Coturnix japonica: one gene and its partner. The protein of the gene in region 2 interacts with the protein of the main gene of each other region in a pairwise test. Links are inferred from orthologs where the notes say so. Each region holds a gene or a part of one and is shown on either strand. Other genes may lie near its edges.

The links.
Region 1: the proteins of ZGPAT (region 2) and CCNDBP1 interact in binary tests that used the Homo sapiens proteins (3 or more experiments, as listed by UniProt). The two-hybrid records come from large-scale screens. The link is inferred for Coturnix japonica from reciprocal best matches to the Homo sapiens genes ZGPAT and CCNDBP1.

The regions. Positions count from the first base shown.
Region 1 is NC_029535.1:5,929,549-5,936,717, forward strand, and holds the start of CCNDBP1 (cyclin-D1-binding protein 1), read right to left. Parts: upstream 4,021-7,169; 5' UTR 3,913-4,020; coding exon 3,846-3,912; intron 3,750-3,845; coding exon 3,690-3,749; intron 3,194-3,689; coding exon 3,114-3,193; intron 2,456-3,113; coding exon 2,374-2,455; intron 1,953-2,373; coding exon 1,856-1,952; intron 836-1,855; coding exon 762-835; intron 459-761; coding exon 382-458; intron 1-381. Other genes in the region: ZNFX1 (NFX1-type zinc finger-containing protein 1), read right to left, coding at 4,726-7,158. UniProt on the Homo sapiens protein: May negatively regulate cell cycle progression. May act at least in part via inhibition of the cyclin-D1/CDK4 complex, thereby preventing phosphorylation of RB1 and blocking E2F-dependent transcription.
Region 2 is NC_029535.1:9,382,237-9,389,578, reverse strand, and holds the start of ZGPAT (zinc finger CCCH-type with G patch domain-containing protein), read right to left. Parts: upstream 4,358-7,342; 5' UTR 4,263-4,357; coding exon 3,646-4,262; intron 2,919-3,645; coding exon 2,785-2,918; intron 2,254-2,784; coding exon 2,095-2,253; intron 1,230-2,094; coding exon 1,098-1,229; intron 250-1,097; coding exon 1-249. Other genes in the region: ARFRP1 (ADP-ribosylation factor-related protein 1), read left to right, coding at 5,749-5,841, 6,197-6,284, 6,747-6,829, 7,299-7,342. UniProt on the Homo sapiens protein: Transcription repressor that specifically binds the 5'-GGAG[GA]A[GA]A-3' consensus sequence. Represses transcription by recruiting the chromatin multiprotein complex NuRD to target promoters.

The DNA of each region.
Region 1 (7,169 bases), about 3.5 Mb from region 2:
AACATGGTCTAAAAATCACACAAATCATTTATGGAGGAACCTCTCTTCAACCAGCAACTCTGCTGCCAGGCTCTGTTCACTCCAGTAAGACTGGATTAAGAAAAACTGATCACTGACTCCTGTTCAAAACAGCAAACTGTGAGAACCTGGCAAACAGTCCCATTCTTACATAAACCTAAAACGACAAACATGGCAGAGCTTCCATGAAGCTCTCTGTAAGGTAAACCAGACCCAGGTTTAAAAACCTTAGTAAGACAGGCATAAGATAATAATATTGGTCATACTAGAACCAACCTAAATCAAAGCCTGCATATTTAACAATGCTTGTGTTCTTTCAGAGAAATCACTGCAGGTTCCCCAGTGACTTAGGGGTTTCCTTACATTTTCCATCTCTTCCACAGCATCCTTGACCACACCTAGAAATGCAGACAGAGATGACACAACTGCTGCCTGGTTATCTGCAAAAGGAAAAGTGAAGAGAACTGTAGAACTGCAGTGATTCAAATCAGCTTGCACCAACATTCATCTGTGTTTGCAACCATTAGATCTTGAGATCATAGGATCCTATTTTTTTGCAAAGCTCAGAACCATACTGTACTGCTCTACAAATTATCAGAGCAGGCTTCCATACTTCAGAGAATACTAAAGTTCAGAAGAATGAGTAAGCCTACAGTGTACTACCTAAAATGCCCCTCTCAAGAGTTAACAGTATTTCAAGATCACACATTCTAGTTCCATTGGTCTGCATACATAGTACTCACCTCGTGGCAGGCTGGACACTTGCTCACATGCCTCCCACACACCACCAGTTGATATAAGCTGCTCCTGAGATGAGCTGAAACAAAACAGAGGCCCTCAAAGTTAGGGTAACACCACACCACTCTGCTAGGCAGTTTTATTTTTGTGCAAACTATAAGAGGCTCAGCTGAAAAAATACTGGCAAACTATCTTGTCACCAGTATTTCACAACTGTGCAAAGCACAGGATGCTTTAATAAATCCTACTGAGTTTAGTAACTAGTTGGAACAAGATGCAGGAGTTTCTTACAAAAACCTTTAAAGGTGCTTAAATATTATTTAACTTTGAGTATTTACCCAAATCAGAAGAGACAGCTGATCTTTGCTTAGAGGCAATGGAATTAATCAGTAAATACAGAGACTGCATATTTCCCTGGAAGGACTGTTGTCCGCTAACTAGCCACAGAGAGTCACACAATCACCGTCACCATTCACTCCACAAGCAAGAATTGCCAAACAGTATAAACAGTATCAAGCACTGTCATGGAAATCCTACTTCCAGCATATTTCCTTGCCACAGACAGGATGAAAAATCTATTCTCTACCAAAGCAAATGCAGTTGAAGAATGCTACAAGTGAGACCCAGCCCTTCCTTACCATAGGACAGACTTTTCCACTGAGAGTCTCTCACTAGGTTCTGCTTGTGCTACATCACAGCTGTGTTGCAGCCATATCTCTACCTGGTCTTGATTCTCTCCTTGATTCTGATCTGAATGCAGACCACTGATTTCTTGGCTTGACCTCAGACCCAATTAATTGCAATGGTCTTGGCTGGACAATCATTGGATGGTGTGTGATGCCAATTACTCTCTCCAAAGCCAATTGTTACTTTGTTGGCCTAGCTTTCCAGTTTGACATTGTTGCTATGGGCTTGACAAATGTCAACACCAGCACCGTTCTGTTCAATCAGAATCCCTTGCCAATGAGTCTGCTGCCTTTGCTTGCCTAATAACAATGCTCGGTTCCTGCCTTCCCACTTCCCTTATGAGTGCAGTCTACACTTGCTGCTCCTTAGTGAGTGTACTTGGAACTTTTTCTTCTTGCTGGAAAAGTACTACCTTCCCAATGGAGAAATGAGAATTGTTTCTGTGAGCTGGATCATTCCTTCCAATACTTCAGTGGTAGCATCTCGTACCATCTTCCGAAGTGTAGTACCTGGTTGAGAAACAGCAAGTATGTTGCCAAAAGGAAGAAACTGATATAGATGAATACACAGACAGGCACACAGTATAAAGTCACACACACAGACACACAGTATAAAGTCACAGAAGCAATTTATATTGCCTAAATTCTAAAGTTCTAACAAGACTTTAAACAGAGATTTCAGCTCTTTACAAACATGAATGCTTGGTAAACTATACCACTTCCTATATTATCATTTGTTCACAGATGGAAATCTCCAAGAGCAAATTGTCAAGTTCACTCATAATCACATTGCAAGTCTATAGAACAGCTGACAAGACTTTGTTCATATTAACTTGTTTTCCCATACAGACCAAATTTAACATGCTGTGAAATATCGGGTTTCTTCACATAGTGATGAAGGAACTGACTCTGTCCTCCATCACTCTCTCACCTTGGCCCTTGGGGAGCCAGTAGTACACTGTGGCAACTGCAAGAATAGCATTTTGGACATCTTCACTCAGCTTCCGACAATTCTGAAAATAGGTAGGCAGAAGGATTAACTAGGAATATCACAGGGCTACACTACATTTAGAAAGCCTCAAAAGAAATCGTTTAAATCTATGTTACTTTGTAAGAAAAAGGAATAGCATCACAATAATGGAGAAACAAACACAGCACAAGAAGAGGCAGTATGTTTCTGTGATGCCAACAAGCACAGAAGAGAATAATTTGCTAGAGCTGCATGCACACTGCATGTGTCAAGAGTTGATATACGGTGTATGACCACCACACCTTGGTTCAAGGGATGTAAAGAAAGGAAAAAATAGTTTAATTATTCTCAAATTAAGGCGCATACAGCGTTAATATTCTCTTAATTAACAGAAGACATAACATCATTCATTGTTAAGAGAAAAGATCTACACTGCCCAGTATCTCACCTCTATCAGCAATCAGTCGTAGAAGCTTAACAAAAAAGATCTAAGAAGACATCTCCTAACCTACATAAATTAGTTTCCAAGGCAATTCTTGAATTTGATTAATATTCATTTAAAATAAATAAAAATACAGCTCATATAAAGTCCCTTTTTTATGCTCAACTTGATAACTTTGCATTAGTCAAGTGAACTGAGAGATACCTCAAACTTGTCACACAGACAGTAATTTCCTGCTCTGTGGGAGATTTTTACTAACCTCTGCAGAAGGCAGTGGAGGTCTCGAGAACGCCAGACTAAGCTTTGTAGCTTCCTGGGATGTTGCCTTGAATGCCTGACCTAGAGAGGATATAGCAGGAAAAAGGAAATTAGAAACTCTGTCAGGTAAAACTAGAACAGAGTAAGTCGACTAGCAGTGTCTTCCCTGACACTACTATTTCTTCCTTCTCAGCATGAAAAAGCTATATATGCCAAATTAGACTGCAAAAGAAAGTTTCCATGGTGCCTTTGATGCACAAACACGCATCAGGTATGTGTTCACTGCCAGCTTTTTACTTAGCTGGAACTGCTACCCATAATCACATTCATCTCCTGCTCCAAGGCAGGAAGTAGAAAGATCCATAAGGCTTTGAAAACGTTGTAAAAACCGCTTCATAGTGCTATGTAACAGCAGCAGAACTAGAGCTGAGGGGGAGTGCCAGAGATATCCCCTGCAGCTCACAGCCCCGCTATGGACCCAGCCTGCCCTGGGACCCGCCCAGCCCTGCTGTGGGCCGGTCCAACCTCCGCCCCACCCGGCGGTCCCCTCGGTGCCAACCCGCTCCCCAGCCCGTACCTAGCGCATCCCAGAAGCGCGGAGGCTCGAACGGCTCGCGGCCTTCACCCGGTTCTCCCTCTGTAAATGCAGACAAAAGGCCTCAGTCTGCGGAAAGCCCGGACCAGAACTCCGGCCTAACGTCCGCCTCCGTCCCCACCCGGCCCCGGCTCCCACCTCTAACCCGTGCCAGCACGGCGCGCATTGAGCCGCACAGCTCCTGCAGCAGCTCCCGGGTCTCCATGCTGCGGGAGCACCCCGCGCTCCGGCTCGGCTGGACGGCAGCTGCGGCCCGGCTCAACAACTAACAGCACGGCAGCCCGTCGGCTGCTGTACGCCACATCCCCTTCCGGAGGACGGCAGAAAACAGGCGGCTCCGCCCCGTTAGATAAACCCTCCCAGTCCCGCCCGCTACCCCGGCAAGGAAGGGCGGTGTTGGGTACAATGTATATGCGTTTTATTGATTATATCCATACTGTGTCCAGGTGTGGAGACCTCAGTACAAAAAAAGACATGGAGATTTTGGAAAGGGTCCAGAGGAGGGACAGGAAGATGATCAGGGGGCTGGAGCACCTCCCCTATGAGGACAGGCTGAGGGAGTTGGGTTTGTTCAGCCTGGAGAAGGTTGCGGGGTGACCTCATTGCAGCCTTTCAGTACCTGAAGGGAACTTACTGCCAGGAGGGGAGTCAACTCTTGGAAAGGGCTGACAATAGCAGGACACGGGGAAATGGTTTGAAGTTAAAAGAGGGAAGATTTAGGTTGGATGTTAGGGGAAAGTTCTTTACTAGTGGTTAGGCCCTGGAACAGGCTGCACAGGGAGGTTGTGGATGCCCCGTCCTTGGAGGTGTTCAAGGCCAGGTTGGACGGGGCCATGGGCAACCTGATCTAGTAAAGGTGTATCTTTGGTGGTCCTGCCAGGCAGGGGGGTTGGAACTACATGATCCTTGAGGTCCCTTCCAACCCGGGTCATTCTGTGGTTCTGTGATTACAGAGGCAGCAGTGAACAGCCAAGGAATGAGCGCTGCACCCTCAGGCAGAGAGGCAGGGTTGGAGCAGCTACAGCAGGCGCTGGAGATCCTGGAAGTTGAGCAGGTTGTTGGCTGTTTCGGACCAGGCCGCGTGGGTCGCTCCGTCCATCTCCGAAGCGAGGCTGTTCGTGCTGTCCAGAGTGTGGTTCATACCCCCGATGACCTCGTGGCATTCAGGGCACGTGCTCCTCTCCATCGCCCCCCCACAGTCCCCTATCACATAGACATGCCCATTTTTGCATTTGAACCAGTGGCCACGCGGGTGGCCCATAGCGCTGACAATCTGCACTCTCTCAGCCTCAGTGATCCCCAATCCCGACAGGGGCAGGGCAGCCTTGAGAAGCTTCAGCTCAGCTTTCACTGCAGCCTCTTCCTTCTCTGTAAACCTTTTTGTCCCTTCCAAGATCTCACGGACCTTGGCAATCTTTGCTGCAACGGTCACAGTGATCTTCCCACTTACGGCTTTACACCTTGACAACAGGTCCTGTAGGTAGGTCAATCTCTGGATCTCAGCCTGCAGATCCATGAGCTCCTGCTGTGTAAAACCGAGGCGTGGCTTATCCAGCCACTCCTGGATTTCGTCTAGACGCTTTTTCAGCCCTTTTTGCTCTTTTGAATCAATTTTGCCCAGAGAACTGGTTAGGTCAGCTATACGTTCATAGAAGTTAATCAGATTCTCAATTAATGCAGTGCTCCTTATGGAAAGATCAGAGGAATTCAGCTTATCCTCCAACACGAGGTACTTAGCGAGTAGGCTCTTCCTCAGAACACTCTTACTTGCGAGCGCAGCCTCTAGTCTTTGTCTGCTTGACACAATTTTCCATGCTGGGCCTTGGATTTTCTCTTTCACCTTCTCTATCTCAGCCAGATGCTTTTTCACCATAGTGCCATATCTCAAACTCTTTCTGACCGGTGTCTGACAGGTAGGGCACACCTTCAGCTTGATGGCTTCATCATCTTCATCCATATAACGATCAAGGCCCTGAGACTCAAAGACATGGCCACAATCTTCAAGCTGTACAAATCGTGCATCCTCATCATCCTCAAAGCCAAAAAAGATCTGGGTAACCTCCTCACGGTCACAAACAAGGCACTTTTTTGGGCAGGGCTCTCCACAGAATCCAATACAAGGATGACCACAGCGCAGCAGCTTGGTACATGGTACATTGCATCGAGGCCTATTGCATGGTTCATGGCAAAGTTTGGTGCACTGATAGTGCTGGCATCGCCACTCACATGGCTCTGCGCATGGAGAACAGCGCTCTCCACATTTCTTTTTACATCTGCTGTGGACACAGCGGTTCTGACAGTCAAGCTGACAGGGAGGGCATTCTGAAGTACAAGGCTGCTGACACTTGTGGGAGCAAATTAAGAAGCGCTTGCATGGGCTCTTACATTGCTCATGAAATCTTCCTCCAAAGCAGGAATGACAGGAACCTGAGCATCCATGGCCACACTCCAGTTTGACAGTGCACTTAGCCATACATTCAATAGGTTTATGATATTTCATCTCATCAGTCATCCAACATCGAACTTTCTGGCTGTGGCCACATTGCAGAGAGACTGTAACCAGTTCAGGACACCGAGTACTACATTCCTGCCCACAGCTTTTGTTGCATGTATGCCCACAGCTTAATTTTTTCTGGCAAGGTTCTTGGCAAATAAACTTACTTTCTGGACAAGAGCATGGCATCATCTGCAGGTGGCCACATTTAGAAACCATTTTCTCTACTATTACCATGCATGGTCCACATGGCTCATAACATAACTGTGGACAGCGATGCCCCTCTGTACAAAGCACCTTTTGACAAGGCTTCAGACACTGATACTTTTTGTGCTGTAAATCGTATGGGTGGCATGCTCTTGTGCAAACATGTCCGCAGTCCAACCTAAATTCACAGGGATGACTACAGCCTCCTTCTGGGACTTTGCTGAAGTCTGCTGCTGTGGATACCAGAGTCATGGTCTCAGGGTGATTTTGACAGCAAAGCGTCAGTGAGCGGCCGATGTTACCTTTCTCCCTCAGTGTGTGAATGATCTTGCTCCAGAGAGGCACCTTGCTCAGCATTCTCATATTTCCAATACAATACAGCCCTTTCTTAGCTCTGGATAGGGCTACACATATCCGATTAGGGATCTGCAAGAACCCAATTCTCTCCTCTTTGTTACTCCGCACGAGTGACAGCAGAATAATATCATTCTCCTCTCCCTGGTACTTATCCACTACGTAAACCTTCACACCTGCAAAAGTCTTGGCTGGCATGAGCTTGCGCAAACAGAAAAGCTGTCCAGTGTAAGTAGTGAGAATGGTGATCTGAGAAGGTTGATAATCCTGACACAAGAAGTATTTGCAAAGTTCCACCACAAACTGTGCCTCATGTATGTTTTGATGGCTTTTCCCTTCCTGGATGTCCTGCTCAGGAAAGTCATGCTCCACAAAGAAAAGGTTAGATAAGACCCCCTGAAAAAAAA
Region 2 (7,342 bases):
TCTCTCCTGTGTTCTTCCCTCTCAGTTTCTCATTCAGAAAGTCAAACACATTGCGGGGTGGCTTGCGGCTGCCTGCAGGGGACCTCCCAGTGTTATTTCCCTTTGCTCGGGATTTCTTTGAATTGCCAGGGTCCAACCTCCCCTGTTTCTTTCTCTGAAGCACCTCAGCACACTGGTCAAGGGACTTCCCTCGAGGAAGTACCACCGCCTGCACCGGCTCCACTCGGCCATCAGAATTCTTCCCAAGCCCTGAGAGGGAAAAGCCATAAGAGTCACCAAGCCATTACCAAGAGGAAGGACATCCCCTCTCCAAGTCAGATCCCACCACAAACTCACACTGACAGTGACAAGCTTAGAACAAGCAAGCAGGCTTTGGACGTGCAAAATGTCGTAACTACCATCCAAATCAAGGGAAACAGCCAAAAGCTGCAGCTCATCTATGTAAATCGACAACAGGAGCCTTCCTCAAGCAGAATATAAGTGATAAAAAGCCCAAGGCCAATAACCAGGTCAGTTTCTGTAAGACAAGGTTCAGTTTCACATCCTTGGCTTCTCAAGGAAGGTTCTTCTTAAAACTGGTTTGGTTCCTCTGGGAGAATCCGAGATAAATCAAGTAGCAAACTGGCCTCCCAAAGCCCCCAAGGCTCCATCCAATTTGTGTAGTAAGAAGCTAGTTTAGCAGGCTTTGAAGTCCACGTCTAGAGCCAGGAGATGCTTTAATACAGACATCACAAGCTTCATAAATCAGTTCCTTTCTACCTACCTAAAGCCTTTGAACAGCTCATTCAACAGTTCTCACAGCTTTAATCATTAACCTGACCATGGTTTTAAATGCCTCCAAACTTTTGCTGTTACCATACAAGAGCTGGTGCACACATGCGGCTGTACTTCGATTAAATAGTTCTCTTCTTGCCTACCAACATTTCCACCCAGGGGTGATTCATCACATACCTCAAGCCTTATCTAACAGGCCCTTCAGCAAAGTTTTTGCCTCGTCCAAAATCTTGGTCTTCTTACCTAGCCTTAGGATGCATCACAAGACTGAGACTGCAATGCAGGCAGGCTCTCACACCACCATGATAACCCTCTTTCCTTACCTTTTCCAAACTCATATCCCATCTGAACGAGCAGTTTGGAGCCAATGCCACGAGTGTGGGCTTCCCAGCCACCGAAAGAGGAACTGCATGCAGGAACCCATTCTCCATTCTCTGGAACCCCAGAATCTATCACTGTAACACAGAAAAGACAAACCGGTGACACACAGACACAAAGCTGATTTGCAAAACCTTCAAGAGCATGAAAACCCTTCTTGATGTAATACAATGTACTGCTCCCACCACAGAATTGTTCAGCAGCTCCTCCAGCCTTACTTGCTCCTGCTATGCTGTCACCTTTTACAAACACCACTTAGAGGGTTATTTGAGAGCTCTCACTTGAATTAACGCACATACCATCTCACAGTTCCAAGCAGAATCGCCTAGAAGTTTCTATGTTTCTTTTCTTTCCTTTCTTCTGGAATGGTCAGATTGACATATGACATCCCAGCAAAGTTTGGCACTGTGGCACATAATGTGCTTAATTAGTGCCTCCAGTGCATGTCAGTAGCATGAGGATTCTCTAGGCTACTATGCTAATGATGTGTTATTAGCACTCAATAATCTCCATTAGGCTGAATTTACTGAGCAATAGGACACAGCTTTGTCCCTGTGACAAAACAGGGGCACAGACAGAGTGCTATCTGTGTATGCTCAGAGAACCTGGTTCTGTTGGTGTCACCTCTTCATAGTAAAAAGCCAGGCACAGCTGTTACTCATCAAGACACTGGGAGGTTTGAATACCTGTGCCTGGGATCTCTTACTCCTGTTGTGTTATACAGCTCTGTGTAGGCTCCGGAGAGATTAGAAGTCTCCTGTTTTACTTGCTCAGCTCACACACCCACTTGAAAAACAGACTAAGAACTGGAACTCCATTATAAAACATTGCGCCCTCTACCTGCTGCTACAGAAACATTTGAGCTTCACCAGACTCATACTGGTGACAGAAGGCAGACACAGATCACAAGGCACTTCTCTCACACCCCCACCACCCTCTCACCTTTAGCATAACCAGAATCATCAACACTGTCTTCATCAGATTCAGCAGATGAGGCACCATCTTCGCTTCGTAGTGGGGGAATTATACTATCTCCTTCTACAACAGCTTCCTTTAGCAGCAGGGAATCAAACTTCACCGTGTAGTAACCACTGTCAATATCTACAGAAGGAAAAGCAAGAAACAAGAGTTCAAGTAAACTCTCAATACAAACACTGCAGAGAGCTTCCTCAAAGTTGGCTTCAGGGAATGATGCGGGAGAGGAGGAAGGCCTGAAGAACACGTGTTAAAACAGCTGAAGGCTTAAGAGATTTACTTATAAAAATAGAGGAATATGGGCTGTCAACAAATGGAACTAAAAAGAAGTTTGACTTACTCCCTCTGACCCAACAAGTGCCAAAGAAAAAAACTTCTCAGAACAGAGGGGAGCCTCTATCAACAGCTCCCAGATTACTGCAGTTCTACTCTAATATGCAATTGTATATGCATGTATATTTCCTATCCTATTCCCTTCCCAAGCCTGACACAACTCAGAACACGTTCTCAACTACCTCCAGATTTTTAGTTCAAGGCCACAGCTACATCCTCAAGTGTTTGCTATCATTAACCAAAACGGTCATACTTTGTAATTCCTTCAGCATGGGTGCTCAATCTCTACACAGCTCTGGCACAACACCCACAAACACCACTCACCAGTTATTTTGGCAGCATACCATATCCCATCACTGTGTTTGGCCAGGCAGGCTGAGCCCACCTCCAGGGTACTCAGATTGGGCTCCTGAAAAGGCTGAAGCTCCTCCACAGAGACCACCTGGCCATGTGAAAACCTGCCAGGGAAGACAGAAAAGGAGTCAGATCTACCTCACTAGAAAGGGCTTGAAATATAAACCCCTTCCTTCCTGACAGGAAACTCAAACAAATTGTCAGCAGTGATGAATCTGCATCAGAAGGTTTATCATGCATCATTTCAATTAAAGAAGTCATTCGTTTTTCACCATATTCATATAATTTATGCTGTGTAATAGAAGAAATAATCCCACTCCCAAGAATGAAGCTTTCCCTGATAGGGAGATCTCTGAAAAATCACAGATCTTTTGAGATAATGAGGACTGCACACAGACACAGAGATCTCAGCCTCCTGCTCAAAGCAAAGCCAACTTCAAAGCCTGATCAGGCTGCTTAAGGCCTCATCTGGGTTAGATTTGAAGCTCTCCAAAGATGGAGACCCCGCAGCTGGAACAAAGGTACCATCAACAGACAGCCCTGGGTGTTTTTGTTTTAACTCATAAGCCTGTGACTAAAGTAGCTATTGGAATGATCAGGTAAAATCTCTGCAACTTGCCCACAGGGATTTCCACTTCATATCTGCATTACCTGAACTGTCCAGCTCTTTGATACCACCTGTTACCATACATAATGGATTTTAATAACACTGCAAAATCCCATTGGTTACAACAGCCAGCGTGGAACACTCAGATGTTCCAGCCTTTGAATCACACGGCCTTTATCAGCAGCGAGGATACGAGCCCCCTCCCCCTCCATATTTTTCTTTACCGACAGTTCTCTTTAAATCTGCATTTGTCATCCAAGAAGAACGGGCACGGCTTCAAGGACTTGTGAGTGGGGTAGAGATACAGCACTCTGACACCTGCACTGCCATCTTCCAAGTACTCCGTCCCCACAATCATGGCATTATGATACTCCAGCGTCCCCCACGAGCTGTAATACGGCGCTTTAACCTTCATCCCACTCAATTCCTCCTCCTCCTCCTCTCTATCAGACTCTTCCTCGCTGCATTTCAATTCACTCTCCTTGCTTTCTTCGTCTCCCGTCGCAGATCTCTCGCTGTTATCAGCTGAGGGCTCACCATCAGTCCCCAGCTCAGCAATGGCTTCCTTGAAGGCAGCATATTCCTCATCCTGGGCACAGCTATCGGGATTTTCACGCTGATTTACACAGGAGGCGCTTGTATCCAACGCAGCCAACAACTTGCTCTTCTTCACAGCCACCAGGCTGGACTCGGTCAGTTCTATCAGCTGCTTTAAATCTTCTTGTAACTGAATCAGATCCGATCGCTGCGAGGGGTCCTGGCCCGCCCCCAGAGCCAGCTCAACCTGCTGCAGCTGGGCGTTGTAGGCCTGGATGGCGGCTTCCAGGCTCTCCTCATCCATTGCGAATAGAAGCCAGGCCCCGGTTTAGGCCTCAATCCGAACCTCCCCGCTCAGCTCCCGCACCCCCACAGCACGGCCGCCATTACGCCCCCCCCACTTCCGCCCTTCTGAGCAGCCACTTCCGGCTTTTCCAGCTGTCGCGCAACGCCACTTCAGCGACCAATCTCTCCGTAGTGCGCTTGCGCAGTCGGGCCCGCCCCACGCATCCGGCGCCGCTGAGCATTCTGGGAGTTGTAGTTTAAAATAACCCCACCTCCCCGCCATAGAGGCGGTGTGAGAACTACACTTCCCAGAGTGCCTCGCGAGGGACGGCGCCGGCGGCTGGTGTGGTGGGGGAGCGAGGCGGCGCTGGGTGACGGGAGGAGCTCCCGGTACCGGGTGAGGGGCTGCGGTGTGCGCTGTGCGGCCGGGCCGGGGCCTGCGGGGTACGGAGGGACTGTGGAGGGATCTGAGAGCTCAGCCGGGCTCTGAGGGGTGGGGACGGCGGGGAGGGCTGCGGGCTGTGGGGCAGGGGGGGTCTAAGGGGCGTTGTGTTGTGACCAACTGCTTGTATAGCGGGTGCTGCAGCAGCACTGCTGTTGGAGAGAGGAGGGTTTGGGATAGGTGAGGGTTCCTACACACACCGCCTGGGTACGTGGTTTGAAGTTAAAAGAGGGAAGATTTAGGTTGGATGTTAGGGGGAAGTTCTTCACTAGGAGAGTGGTCAGGCCCTGGAACAGGCCGCCCAGGGAGGTTGTGGATGCCCCGTCCTTGGAGGTGTTCAAGGCCAGGTTGGACGGGGCCATGGGCAACCTGATCTATGGGGTCTCTATGGGGTCTCTATGGGGATCTATGGGGTCTCTATGGGGATCTATGGGGTCTCTCTGGTCTCTATGGGGATCTATGGGGTCTCCTGGGCAACCTGATCTAGTAAAGGTGTATGTTTGGTGGCCCTGCCAGGCAGGGGGGTTGGAACTACATGATCCTTGAGGTCCCTTCCAACCCGGCTCATTCTGTGATCCTGTGATCTGGCTGTGAGCTCGGTTCAGCTGTTGAAGATCCCATAATACTGTCATAAACAAAGTGAGGGGGCACCAACCTGCACATTCCTGCTCAGAACACTCCTCTATATCTGCACACCACTGGCTTCTTTTCTACGAGTCTTATATGTTCTCTAAGTTACTTTCAAGCAGACTTTAGCTTGCTCTTAAGTCCAAGAGAGAACAAACTTTGAGTTGAGAAGTGAGTTCATAATGGATGCTGTGCATTGTGTGCTGAAACACAGGTTAAGCTACTTGGAAGATCATGTTTTGAACATTGGATCTTGAGCTGTTTGCACTCTTCCTTTTGTGTCTGTGATTTGTCCTAGGGTTGGCTTAAGAGTTACTGATAAACGAGTAATGTCACTTATTAATCTGATGTTGGGAGAAGTTTAGATCATGGAGTGGAAGAATTCTGGAGATAATCTGTTTGTTAATGATTTCCTGGCATCTGTTGCAGGAGCAGGATGTATACTCTGCTGTCTGGGCTCTATAAGTATATGTTCCAGAGGGATGAGTACTGCATCTTGATCCTCGGTTTGGACAATGCTGGTAAAACAGTAAGTGCTGAGTGTTACCAATTGCATGCAGTTCTAAACATCCCCATCTTCAGAGACAAAACTTCCACCAGATGGGTCAGTCTTTGTCTGTAACATGAGCTATTTAAGCGATGTTGCCCCCAAGGAATCAACTTTTATCTCGTATTTAAATTTAGCATAAGCTTTGATAATCCTGTAATCCTTGTGAGCCCTTCTTTCTGCACTGAAATAGGGAGCGAGAAAAGTGCTTTGTTTCAAGGTTAGGGCAGTATCTATTGGAACAAGGTTCTGCAGTCATGAAAAAGGAGATCTGGGGCAGGGTCACCCAAGGCAGTAGAATATATGAGAGTGAATACTATTTCACATTCCTTTTCAGACCTTCCTTGAACAGACTAAAACTCGATTTAACAAGAACTACAAAGGGATGAGTCTGTCAAAAATCACAACCACTGTAGGCTTAAACAGTAAGTAAATATGTCTGGATTGTTGTTATTATTATTGCAAAGTTAGGCAACAGTTTCTTTTGGAGCGTTTGAATTACTTAAGAGTAAGCAAGACCAAAATAGTCCCTGCAAATGAAGGTCTTCTCTCCCAACCCCATTTATTTTGTGTAAGAATAAGATTGACTTGTTTAGCTTATAAGCAAAGGTAACCTTGAAGCCATGAAAACCTAACGAAGCAGATGTTCCATTTCAGGGCTACGCTCTGCAGTTAAGTAACATTTTGCTGGAATTCTTTGGCCTGATTCTGATATTATTTGTACTGATGTGGTTCTATCTGATATAGATGTCACTTCTACCTCATGTATTGTTGTGCTGCTGGAAGTAGCACTGTATATGATTTGCTCCAACCCCTCACTCTCAGTGTCTGTACTTTAAAGACCCTTTTTAGTTTTCATTGGATTGTTTTTTCTTCTTTCCTTCTAGTTGGTACAATTGATGTTGGCAAAACTCGGCTGATGTTTTGGGATCTTGGGGGCCAGGAGGAGCTACAGTCTCTTTGGGACAAGGTTGGAGATGTAGTTTTTTCTTTTGGTCTCTTTCACAATTACAGAACTATGATCCTTTAATCATCATATGGGTTTAATGGTAACCTTAGTCTTCAGCATCAACACTTCTCCAAAGGTTTGAGTGTATCTTTGTGAAATTAGCTTCAATATATATATTATCTTCATGAAGATTGTGCTTCATATTTGCATTAGTGTTTACAGGTGGTAATTACCATTAGATATGAGGATTGTGATGGTGGAGAAGCTCTTCAGGGCTTGGGGGGCAGATGTGTTTCTTCACCTGCTTCATTCAGTAGGCAATGCATGTGATGTGACACCATTCGTCTCTCCAGATATATGTGATGGAAACATCTGGCTTTATGTGGTTGATCTCTTTCACGTGTATCAAAATTCTACCAAGTAAAATAGAAATCTGCAAGAGTAACAGTTGGCCCTATACATGCACTAATATCTTGTGTTGTCCTTTCAGTACTATGCTGAATCTCACGGTGTCATCTATGTTATTGATTCCAC